Linked DNA regions of Anolis sagrei. Each later gene encodes a partner of the first gene's protein in a complex. Links are inferred from orthologs where the notes say so. Each region holds a gene or a part of one and is shown in the gene's direction. Other genes may lie near its edges.

The links. Proteins that work in one complex are often made in the same cells at the same time.
Region 2: the proteins of AGT (region 1) and REN are in contact, whole or in part, in a crystal structure (PDB 6I3F), measured with the Homo sapiens proteins. The link is inferred for Anolis sagrei from reciprocal best matches to the Homo sapiens genes AGT and REN. Residues at the interface, in NP_001369746.2 of Homo sapiens: Asp25, Tyr28, Ile29, His30, Pro31, Phe32, His33, Leu34, Val35, Ile36, His37, Asn38, Glu39, Lys91, Leu92, Ala95, Met96, Met99, Leu100, Phe103, Arg107, Arg148, Ala151, Ile152, Gly154, Gln353, Gln354, Asn355, Asn358, Glu391; in NP_000528.1 of Homo sapiens: Tyr81, Met82, Thr84, Gln85, Val102, Asp104, Gly106, Ser107, Asn109, Ser118, Arg119, Leu120, Tyr121, Thr122, Val125, Tyr126, Leu147, Arg148, Tyr149, Ser150, Pro181, Ala182, Leu183, Pro184, Met186, Leu187, Ala188, Glu189, Phe190, Val193.
Region 3: the proteins of AGT (region 1) and ANPEP are in contact, whole or in part, in a crystal structure (PDB 4FYS), measured with the Homo sapiens proteins. The link is inferred for Anolis sagrei from reciprocal best matches to the Homo sapiens genes AGT and ANPEP. Residues at the interface, in NP_001369746.2 of Homo sapiens: Val27, Tyr28, Ile29, His30, Pro31, Phe32; in NP_001141.2 of Homo sapiens: Gln211, Gln213, Ala351, Gly352, Ala353, Met354, Glu355, Arg381, Val385, His388, Glu389, His392, Glu411, Glu418, Asn438, Arg442, Phe472, Tyr477, Ile864, Phe896, Ser897, Asn900, Gln903, Ala904, Arg907.

The regions. Positions count from the first base shown.
Region 1 is NC_090021.1:61,835,715-61,839,467, reverse strand, and holds the start of AGT (angiotensinogen), read left to right. Parts: upstream 1-822; 5' UTR 823-967; intron 968-2,630; exon of another isoform or gene 2,631-2,674; intron 2,675-3,753. UniProt on the Homo sapiens protein: Essential component of the renin-angiotensin system (RAS), a potent regulator of blood pressure, body fluid and electrolyte homeostasis.
Region 2 is NC_090024.1:192,428,402-192,432,154, reverse strand, and holds the start of REN (renin), read left to right. Parts: upstream 1-1,303; coding exon 1,304-1,374; intron 1,375-3,753. UniProt on the Homo sapiens protein: Renin is a highly specific endopeptidase, whose only known function is to generate angiotensin I from angiotensinogen in the plasma, initiating a cascade of reactions that produce an elevation of blood pressure and increased sodium retention by the kidney.
Region 3 is NC_090029.1:22,903,317-22,907,069, forward strand, and holds the start of ANPEP (aminopeptidase N), read left to right. Parts: upstream 1-1,039; 5' UTR 1,040-1,469; intron 1,470-3,753. UniProt on the Homo sapiens protein: Broad specificity aminopeptidase which plays a role in the final digestion of peptides generated from hydrolysis of proteins by gastric and pancreatic proteases.

The DNA.
Region 1 (3,753 bases):
CCTTTGCAAAATCCAACATGCAGCACAGTCTTGCAGTATTTAATTTTAATAAAGTGTTTGATGTGTTCACCTTTTCTCCATACAATATACCAAATTCAGCACTGCATATTATATTCATTGATTTACCACAATTCATAACTTCAGGGAAACTGAGCCTAATAAGTCTAATTTATGTTTACTAGGGGTGGGGGTGGGTGGGCAACATTTGATGTTACTACTGATTGGAACAAAAAAAAATCCTATGCATTTTCCTGTTTCCTGTCCCTGTGCATGAAAACTACCCTAGTCTCAATATCTAAAATCTAGAGCCAGAATTTGATCAGTCAAAATTTATGTTTTGAATATATCGGGCACCTTTATAGAAAGAAACTGCTTATTCCAACTAAAAGTTGTTCCTGAAATGGATCCCACACATCATATCTAACAGCCAATGAAGATCTGTGAATTAGCCAAGATGGGCAAATTGACTATGCTAATTTTTGAAGAACCACATAATCTGGAAACACAAGCTTTCTAACCTCTTTCACTACCATCTCTCCAGTTAGCTGTTTACCATTCACAAATGGTGTACTGGAAATAATGGATATGTTGTACTGATGTTGTATATAATTTGCTGTTTACATTGCAAGATGAGGTCTCCAACTCCATTTTAGGGGAGTGAGAACATAGAAGGAACAAGGGCTTGGATGAGATAGCAAAGAAAACACTGATGAAATGATCTCCCAGACCAGTGTTTGCTTTTCTCATTGGGAAAAGAAACAGCAATGATTGCCAATACATGGAAAAACACATAGCCCAGAACACTGTGCACCCAAGTCAGAGAGCAGAGGGGACAGCTAATGTGTAACTTGGGTTTGGCAATCAAGGGGAAACAAATAAGTAGGAATCCAAATTTTCTTTTGGGATCAGTTCCTGAGCACATGAAACAAGGCAAGATCCTCTTCTCAAAAGATTAAGTCTCTGAGAGGTGAGTGACCATTTTCTACATGGATTTATTTTGTATCTTCAGCATCTAGACACAAAGTTAATTAGTTAGCTTGCTTGGAAATGAAAAATGTAATGAAATGTGAAGGTACTTTTGTGCAATGTGCTAATCGTCAACATTTACGGTTACAATCATTTGTACAATCCACATTTTGCAAAAGTCACAATTAATACGAAGTGTGGTAGGCTTTATTTCAGTGGAAGGAACTGACAAAACAACGTTTGGGTATTCCTTGACTAAGAAAATCCTATGAAGTTCATGGAGTGGCTGTAAGTTGGCAGGTGACTTGACAACATACACATACATGGGGAAAAAATCAACTCTATCCAAGGATTCCCCTAGTTTTGTTCTAACGGTGCTTGGGTTGCATCATTTGTGAATATATGCGAGGAGGAGGTAATTAAACAAGAATAATAATCTGGACCCAGATTATTATTCTTGTTTAATTTGAAAGGATCATAAACACTTTCTGTGAAATTATTAAGCCCAATGCGGAGAAGGTGGAATGGGGGTACTAACGGGGAAGCAGGGTCAACCTGAATCTTTGGCAAGTCATTGTTTCAAAATGGAATGGGAAAGGCTGTACAAACATCAACTGGTCTGAACTGGTTTTGCCCTGGTGCACAATATGTTTTCAATCCTGTTAAATGTAATATGTGTATGTCATTATGATATTGTTAGTTTAGTTAGTGATTTTTTAAAAATTTTGATGTTATGTATTATGTATTTATTCTTGCTTGATTTTATATTTATTTGTTGTAAGCCACGCCAAGTCCTTTCGGAGAAGGGGCGGGATATAAATAAAGATGATGATGATGATGATGATGATTATGATTATTACAAAGATTAAGAGTGCAGTTCTACACTTGCTTAACTCAGTCCAGAATGCTCAATTGAGTTCAGTGTTTGTGTAATGCAGTTTTTGCACCAGTCACCCGCTCAAACTCAGTACTGTGCACTATTCAGACTATTGAAGGTTGCTAGATATTCACTGTGTATTGTATTCTGTGGTTGTTTTATATTGTTTGAAATGTTTTTATGAATTTTGTTGTTATATCTTAACTATGTTGAATCTCGGGCTTGTTCCCATGTAAGCTGCATTTGTATCCCTCCCCTTTGGGGAGATGGAATACAAAAATAAAGTTGTTGTTGTTGTTGTTATTATTATTATTATTATTAACACAACAAGATCAGTCCACAGCAGGCACTCTGCTGGCTGTTGCATTGGATCACATCTAAAAATCCTTCCCAAGTGTCTAGGACTGTGTGATGAATTGGCGAATAATGCATGCAGATCCCAGTAAGGTAGCCTTTTGCAGCTGGCAGATGGTAATTTTGTCAGTGCCGATTGTGTTTAAGTGCAGGCCAAGGTCTTTAGGCACTGCACCCAGTGTGCCGATCACCACTGGGACCACCTTTACTAGTTTGCGCCAGAGTCTTTGCAGTTCGATCTTTAAATTCTCATATCGTGTCAGCTTTTCCAGTTGTTTCTTTTCAATCCTGCTGTCACCTGGGATTGCAACATCGACAATCCATACTTTGTATTATTATTATTATTATTATTATTATTATTATTATTATTATTATGATGGGTGGGTAGGGGTGATAGATAAAACTGACAGCACAGTTTTGGCTCTTTTAACAGACTCCTTTTCTTGCTGTGTTGCTTTTCTGGAACAGTGAATTCAGGCAAGTGAACATCATATGCTCCTGTTTGACTATTGCCACTTTTGTTAATATAGTTACATCATGCCACCTGAAAACATAGGCTCCTCTAAGTGTATATGCTCTTTTTCATCAAGCCTGATGTAATGGTTTGGTAAACTGAAATATTTACTTACACAGCTCCTTCCCAGTGGATACACAGATATCTGGTCAGGAAACCATGTGCATTAGATTGCCACATGCTTTAAAATCCAGCACTATCCAGAGTGCTTGGAAAATCAACATGAACAGGCTTTTCCCTAGAGATGTAGCAAGTATGTAGCACACAACAATCTGTGTTGTTGGTCTGTATCAACTTGAAAAGAGACAAAGGATTCCTGTAGCACTTTTGAAACTAACTAGAAAGCAGCTTGTAGCACAAGCTTTTGTCAACTCAGACAACCTCATCAGCTGCATGGAATGAAGCTTCTATGGATATACATTTACAGGCAATCCTCAAGTTGCAAACATCTGTCTTACCTAAGACTCCTAGTTGCAAACAGGTGTGAGACTACAGGAAGTGAGTGGAAATCTACCCCTAGGAAGAGAAATTCACTCCTGGAAGAGTTATCATTTAGAAAAACGTGCCTCCACTGACACTTTCTCAACAATCCTTGTTTCCAGGACAAACCAAACATCTCAAAATCCAGTTGTCAAAGGGACAAAAGGTGAGGTGAAGCTTTAGCTGACAGCAAAACAGACATTACAGGGGTGTTAACCCTCTCCTAAGCTATCCAAAACTTTAAAATACACTTAAAATGCACATGCTCCAACTTAGGATCTCAAGCAGAGGGAACCAACTTATTCCATATCTTTTTATCTTTCCCCATCTTCTGGCATGACCAGCCATCCTGTGTACTTGCTGTGCCTTTCCCCTGCTTTCTCCCACAATCTGCAGCTTATAGTCCTGAAGATGGCTGCTAGGCTCCATGTCCATGTGCTTAGGAAATGGAAACCCGCAGAGTCCCACCAGAAGTGCCCTCCATGGGACTCCCATGGGGCTATTTCCTAAGTACATGGAAACAGCCTGAAGACCATTTGATGAAGACTTTACATGCAAATTC
Region 2 (3,753 bases), on another chromosome or scaffold:
GAGAAGGGATTCGTACTCTGAAAACAGGGTAAATGCTAATAAGTAAGATTTGTGTATGCATAAAAAGCAATGCCTTTTGCTTTCTGTATTATAGTGAACAATGCTCTCACATAGACACTTCCATGTACAGAAGCTGGTTTGATCAATGATGATTCTTACTTGTATAATGGCTGCTGGCTAGATTAAGATGGGCAAATATAGTAGACCCTTAGTATTCACTGCTGTTTGGCTTCAAATTCCCCCATGAATACCATCATCCATGAACGCTCAGGTCTCATTATGTACAACGACATTGTAAAATTTATTTATTTATTTACTCTATTTACTCTATTTATTCCCTGCCCTTTCTACTCCAAAGGGGAGTCAGAGTGGCTCCTGCAAAACTTCTGCAAAAAGAGTGGCTCCTGCAAAACTTCTGCAACTCCTGCAAAAATTCAATGCTGCATCGTGCAAATAATAATGATGTTCCTTAGATAAAATGGCAAAATCAAGCTTTATTTTTGGATATATATATAAGCTGTGTACAGTTGAATCAGTGGATGCAAAACCCATGGGTATGGAGAGTCAATTATATTCCTGTTTGCCTCTTCCCTGCTCATTGAAGCAGCTCAGTGATCTGACTCCCTCTGTCCAATTACCATTTCTCTAATTGTCTGGAACACATATATTTAGGGAAATGCACTGATTCCATAACTATTCCAAAATAAGAATTGTCCGGTTCTACATCCTCCTTAATAAAGATCAGAATTATCCCCCGGGCAAAAACCTCTACGTTGATAAACAGTCCAACCATATTGCCTCCAGTCTTCATTATAAATTTAATGATTATACACCTCAGTTCAAAAGAAAGCCAATAAAATCCATAGTCCAAGTATGAACGCAGAGATTCCCCTTTCCCATCCCTGCCAGAAATACTATTACATGAAAGGAACAAGATTGGCCTACTTAGGGTTTTTTTTTAAAAAAAAACAAAAAACAAAAAACTTCTCCAACATGCTAAAGAGGGTTCTTGGTTTGCCTCACCGAGTTACGCACATTGAATGAATCCCGTACATGTGAGATAGTGAGTGTGCATAAACACACAACCAATATGCCCTTTGCCAGGAAGCAAGGTCAAAGTGGCTGACTACCTCAAAAGTGTTTAAAGATTTATTACCTCCTTCTACCAATCAAAATAGTACAAACACAAGCCAGTCACATAAAGTTTTGCTATAAAAGCCCACTGGACCTGGCTCCTTGTTTCACACAAAAAGAAAACACAGATTAGAAGAGAAGTTTTTTTTTTACCAAAACCAGTCATATAATGCAGCTGTCCTGGGCCTTTGCAGTAGTTACCTGCTGCTTCTTGTCATTTTCCAGTGATGCTTTCCAAAGGTAAGACAATATTTTTAAAAAATCAAGAGTGGGCATGTTGATGGGAAATGTGTGCCTTCAGATGTTCTTGGGTTGCAGATACCAATAAAATTACATTAATTGAGGCATCAGTAGGTTAACTGTTTTTAATATTTACATAAAACTGTAATTTAAGATAAGACTGTATTAACTCTGATTAAATGCCTTCTTCAATATAAACGTGCTTACATATTCTTCCAATAATCACCAAAGTTTATTTTAACTATACATTTTGGGGGAAATGCTGTGTGTATATGAATAAGGAAAAGTGGGAAAGACTGGCACTGGGAGAGGAGGAGAGGAAGGCGCACGCTACACCGAGAGAGGAGAGGAAGGAGAGATGGGTTGCTGTGTGGAAAGGCGAGGATCCTGGCAGGAAGGCATGGGGCTGAAAAAAGCCCTTCTTTCAGCACCACACCTTCCTGCCAGGACCCTCACCCAAGTATAAGCTGAGAGGGGCTTAAACCTACCTGTTGAGGAATTAGAAATCTCCTGCTGCATCTATTAGGCAATAAGCTTGGGATGGCAGAATATGGGATCCTATCTAGCCATAAGCTAAGGTTGGTTCTCTGCCACTGAGAAGTGAAAAAGATATGAATGCATCTGGCCTGGGCATGTCCCTGAAGGGTTTTATCCCCAAGACAGACGGCATTGTTGGACTGCATCTCCCAACAGCCCCAGCCCACATAAGCCTATGGTGAAGCATTTAGAGGCTGAAATTCAACAAGGCAGTGCAATTTCCATTGTTCTAAAGGGGTTGCTCAAAACTGAAGAAGACAGGCATGTAGGCTTTGCCTTTTAATCAAATGCATCCATCCCAGTGCCAGCTGCTCCACAAAGCAGGTACAAAAGAAAGGCAGCACAACAACAGAGACCCAAATAGCATCTGGCAAAAAGGACATGCAAAACTGAACATAAAAAGTGGAGATTGAGGAAGAAGTGGGTTGTGACACTCAGGAAGAGCATACATGGGATAAAATATACCTATTGAGATTTTTTAAATGAGGTATTATTTCCTTTATCATTGGGAAAATAATCTAGAAATCATCCAAAATGTAAATACAGTGAAACACCTAACACAGTGAAGCACAGAAGACAGACAGAACCCACGTGTCTATTTAAACAATTTCCGTTGCCTTTCAAATCAAATATTCTAAATTTATATATGAAAAAGGTTTAGAGGACTTGCCAGACCATTGCAAGTATTTGCTGCCACCTAGTGCAATAGAGTGCTGTGTACAAAGCTAAGTCAGTTACAATGTGTTTATCAGCTGTTTGCAAAAGTCTACGCTTGTAGCAATGGTTATTAGGGCTGGGCGGTTTCGTTTCGTTAATTCGTAATTCGTTAATAATTCGTTAATTTTTTCAATTACAAAACGATAACGAACCATTCTGGAGCAATTATTAAAAAAAACGAATTTTCAAAAACGTTTTGTAAATGCTTTGTATTTCGATATTGTATTCATTTCGTTATTGTTTTGAGGTCGTTTCGTTATTATTTCCGCATGTCTGGGCCAGTTTTATGGTTTAATTAGTGAAAAAAAATTATAATATCACACCAACAGTCAACAACAGAGGGAGAGGGAAGCTTCAGAAGGTTTTGGAGGTTTTTTAGCGTATTTCGCGGTCGCGTCCGCCATTAACGAATCGATTCGTTATTGTTTCGGAAATCATTCGTTAATTTTTTACCATTTACGAAATTTCGTAAATATCGAACTTTTTAAAAGGAAAATTTTGTAATTATTTTAAATATCGAAACAAAAAAAAACCCCAAATACAAATCGATTTTAGAAACAAATTTTTCCGTTGTTACCCAGGCCTAATGGTTATAAATGGCCCTGGACTGTAATTTCCATCAGCCTGGCTTTACCAGAATCTGTTCTTACTCCAGAACTCAGCTTAATAAGGATTTTTCAAGAGAGGGAGAAATATCCACTGTAGGTTTGCATGTGAATAACAACATTTCAGATATCCTAACAGTCCATATTAAACTGAGGTGCTATATTTTCCTCTATTCATACCTCATTTTCAGTTTTAGGTAATTTTCTTTGTTACACAGTGACTACTTGGGATATAAAGCTAAATCATAGTTTATTACATGAAAGCAGTGTTTTGACATGCATTAGCTACTGTTTCTCATGCTATCCAAATCTAAAGAAACTGTGGCTCTCTGGTGGAATCAAACTGGTTTGTTTCCTTAATCATAATTCAAATCAGCTGCAATAGAGGTTTCTGAGATTGTGTTAAACTCTCTTTCATCAGATGTAGAAATGGGAGTTTTTAGTCTCCTCATCACAACCACACTAGAGGATTAGGTACACATGGAGGATCAACTTTTTAGGAACCACTGATCTAGACCTT
Region 3 (3,753 bases), on another chromosome or scaffold:
TGCTTACCATGGATGCAGGTGAAACGTCAGGAGATAATGTCTCTAGAACAGTGTTTCTCAACCTTCCTAATGACGCAACCCCTTAATACCATTCCTCATGTTGTGGTGACCCCCCCCCCCCAGCCATAACATTATTTTCATTACTACTTTCATAACTGTAAATTTGTTACTGTTGTGAATCATAATGTAAATATCTGATATGCAGGATGTATTTTCATTCACTGGACAAATTTGGCACAAATACTCAATATGCCCATATTTAAATTCTGGTGAGGTTTTGGGGAAAGATTGATTTTAGAGTTGTAGTTGCTGGGGTTTATAGTTCACCTACAATCAAAGAGCATTCTGAACTCTCCCAGTGATGGAATTGAACCAAACTTGACACACAGAACTCCCATTACCAACAGAAAATACTGGAAGGGGTTGCAGGGCATTGACCTTGAGTTTTGGAGTTGTAGTTCACCTACATCCAGAGACTCAAGCTAGGATGGATCTGGACCAAACTTGCCAAAAATACTCAATATGCCCAAATGTGGACACTGGTGGAGTTTGGGGAAAATAGACGTTGACATTTGGGAGTTGTAGTTGCTGGGATTTGTAGTTCACCTACAAATCAAAGAGCATTCTGAACCGCATCAACGATAGAATTGGGCCAGACTTCCCACATAGAACCCCTATGACCAACAGAAAATACTGTGTTTTTCTGATAATCTTTGGCGACCCCTTTGACACCCTCTGGCGACCCCCCCCCCCCCCAGGGGTCCCGACCCCCAGGTTGAGAAACACTGCTCTAGAACATGGCCATATAGCCCGAAAAAAACCTACAACCCAATCTTTTCCTGTTCTTTCCGCCTTCTGCACATGAGTGCATTGGATGAAGGGCGGGTGCCACCACCGATAGGTCAGGTCTCCTTGTTCCTGCGGATCCATTCGAACTAAACAAGGCATCCTTTGCAGATGGGCCTCCTTTCCTCCTGAGACTTCTTCCAGAGGTGCTTCCTGCATGACGAGCATCCACCCACTAATGTCTTCCAGATGTGGAGAGGATGGCCGGCGGGAGGAGGGACACGTAGCTGTGGCCACTGTGGGTCTCTTCCAGGAACGGCCAGGAGCCCTTTAAGGGCCTGAGTGTAAGAGTGTGGTGGAGTGACCGCAGGGCATCATCCTGGCCTGAACATCCTGTCGGCCAGATAGGACTGCTGTCCAGCCGCCTTCTCCCCCTTTGCTGGCCTTCCCGCCCTTTGCTGGGCCAGCAGCCCAACAGTTAATCCAGGATCAGTACAGGCGACTTCCTTTCAGGCTTTGGAAGGAGCTCACTTTCCTTGTGACCGATTTGGGGAGAAGGAGGGAGAGGGAAGGAAAGGGGGAAGCAGCACAGGAAAGAGCCCACAGCGGAAGAGAAGGCGGGAGGCAGGGCTGCAGGAAGGGCTGGAAGGAAAGCAGCAGCTCCTGGGATGGGGCCCGCAAAGGTGAGTCGGCCCTGAAGCCCCCCTCCACTTTCCCCACTGCCCTTCCCCACCAGCATCCTTCCCTCTTTCTCTACCTCCCTTGGCAACCTTCCCTGGAAGAGAAGGAGGAGGTTCAGGCTACTCTCCACTCTGAACTATAATGACTGTATTATGCTAATCTAATGCGCCTCTTAATTTGAGCCAAAAAGTGAGCATTAGATTTGAGTCAGTAGAGTATTCCCCCTACCATTGCAACCCTCAAATAATCCTTGCCCTGGCCATTATGCACATACATCTTCATCACAGAGAGGGACTTTTTAGGTGTAGCCCAATACTTTTTTAATCATGCAAAGGAATTGTTTTTTGGGGATCGTCCTTGAAGAAGACATCCTTCCTATCTGTAAGGAGAGCTGTTCAACTGGGGAACTCACTGCCTCAGAGTCCAAAGGAGGTGCCTTCCTTTAAAAGAGTCTGGATAGCCTTAACAACTACAACATCATTTCTAGACTGCACTTCTCTCCCAAAAAGGGACTCAGGGCAGTTTACAGTACAAAAAACCCCCAAAAAAACAAAAAACCAGGCAAACATTCAATGACAAACAACCTCAGGAATAAAACCTTTTTAAATCAGGCATTTAAAGATGAAGATGTATAAGTTCTAGTCATGGGATGCTATGGTTTCTAACTTTGAATATATTTTGATAGCTTTTAACTGAATTTTTAAATGCTGATTGTGTTTAATTCTGTTTTAATGTTTGTATATTTCCATATAATGAATTCATGTCCCGGCATCGAATGTTTGCCATTGTATGTTGTGCTCCGCCCTGAATCCCCTTTGGGATGAAAAGGGCGGAATATAAATATTTTAAATAAATAAATAAATATTTTAAATTGGATACCATTGCTTTTATGCCAAGCCGCTTTGACTGGGGAGATAAAGCAGGTTATAAATATAAATATAAATATAATAATAATGCCATCAAAGCCAGAATTGAAAAGTCGGTGACAGATCCTAAATGTAGACTCTGCAAGGAAGCAGATGAAACAATAGATCACATCCTGAGCTGCTGCAAGAAGATCGCGCAGACAGACTACAAGCAGAGGCATAACACCATTGCTCAGATGATTAATTGAAAATTGTGCCACAAATACCATCTGCCTGCAACAAAGAACTGGTGGGATCCCAAGCCTGAAAAAATTACAGAGAATTAACATGCCAAACTCTTCTGGGACTTCCGAATTCAGACAGACAGAGTTCTGGAGCACAACACTCCTGACCTCACAATTGGTTTAAAAAACAAAGTATGGATAGTTGATGTCGCAATCCCAGGTGACAGCAGGGTTGAAGAGAAACAACAGGAAAAGCTGACACAATATGAGGATTTAAAGATTGAACTGCAAAGACTCTGGTACAAGCCAGTAAAGGTGGTCCCAGTAGTGATCGGCACACTGGGTGTAGTGCCTAAAGACCTTGGCCTGCACTTAAACACAATCAGTGCTGACAAAATTACCAGCTGCCAGCTGCAGAATGCCACCGTACTGGGATCTGCACCCATTATTCGCCGATACATCACACAGTCCTAGACACTTGGGAAGTGTCCGACATGTGATCCAATTCAACAGCCAGCAGAGTGTCTGCTGGGGACTCATCTTGTTATGTTTCAAATAATAATAATAATAATAATAATAATAATAATAATAATAATTCTCACATTTCTGATCTGCTCCTGAATTGGAAACTGGAATTGGAAACTGCTCCTGAATTGGAAACTATCTTTATGTGGGTTCTTTCAAAGTCTGAATGGGAGTACTGCATTGACTGGAGTCTCATGTGCCATCGAATCTAAGGCACAACTCCATTTCCAAAACCCTGAAACAAAAACAAAAAAGTATTTTCTGCCAAATGTCATGTGCAAAAGGCAGCCAAAAGTGCCCTCTTTGTAATTTGGCCAAAAAAGGTGTGCATTATAGTGGCTGCCTGCTTTGAAATCCTTCTTTAAAAACAAAAGTGTTAAGAGGACCAAAGATTATGGGAGCAGCCAAAGAATGCTGGTGCCTCACCAAACTACAAATCCCAGCATTGCATAGCATGGAGCCATGGCAATTCAATTAGAGAAGATATCCCTTAGATTAGAGAACAGCTCCTGAAGTAGCTTCTCTTTTTGCTTTGGTTCAACACTAAGATTACCATATTATGTGAATCTAACACACACTCTAATTTTTGGGAAGGTCAATTAGCCCCAAAAGATGAGCATTAGATTTGAGTCAATACAGTCTTGGGAGAGAATGGCCAGGGATACTGGGGC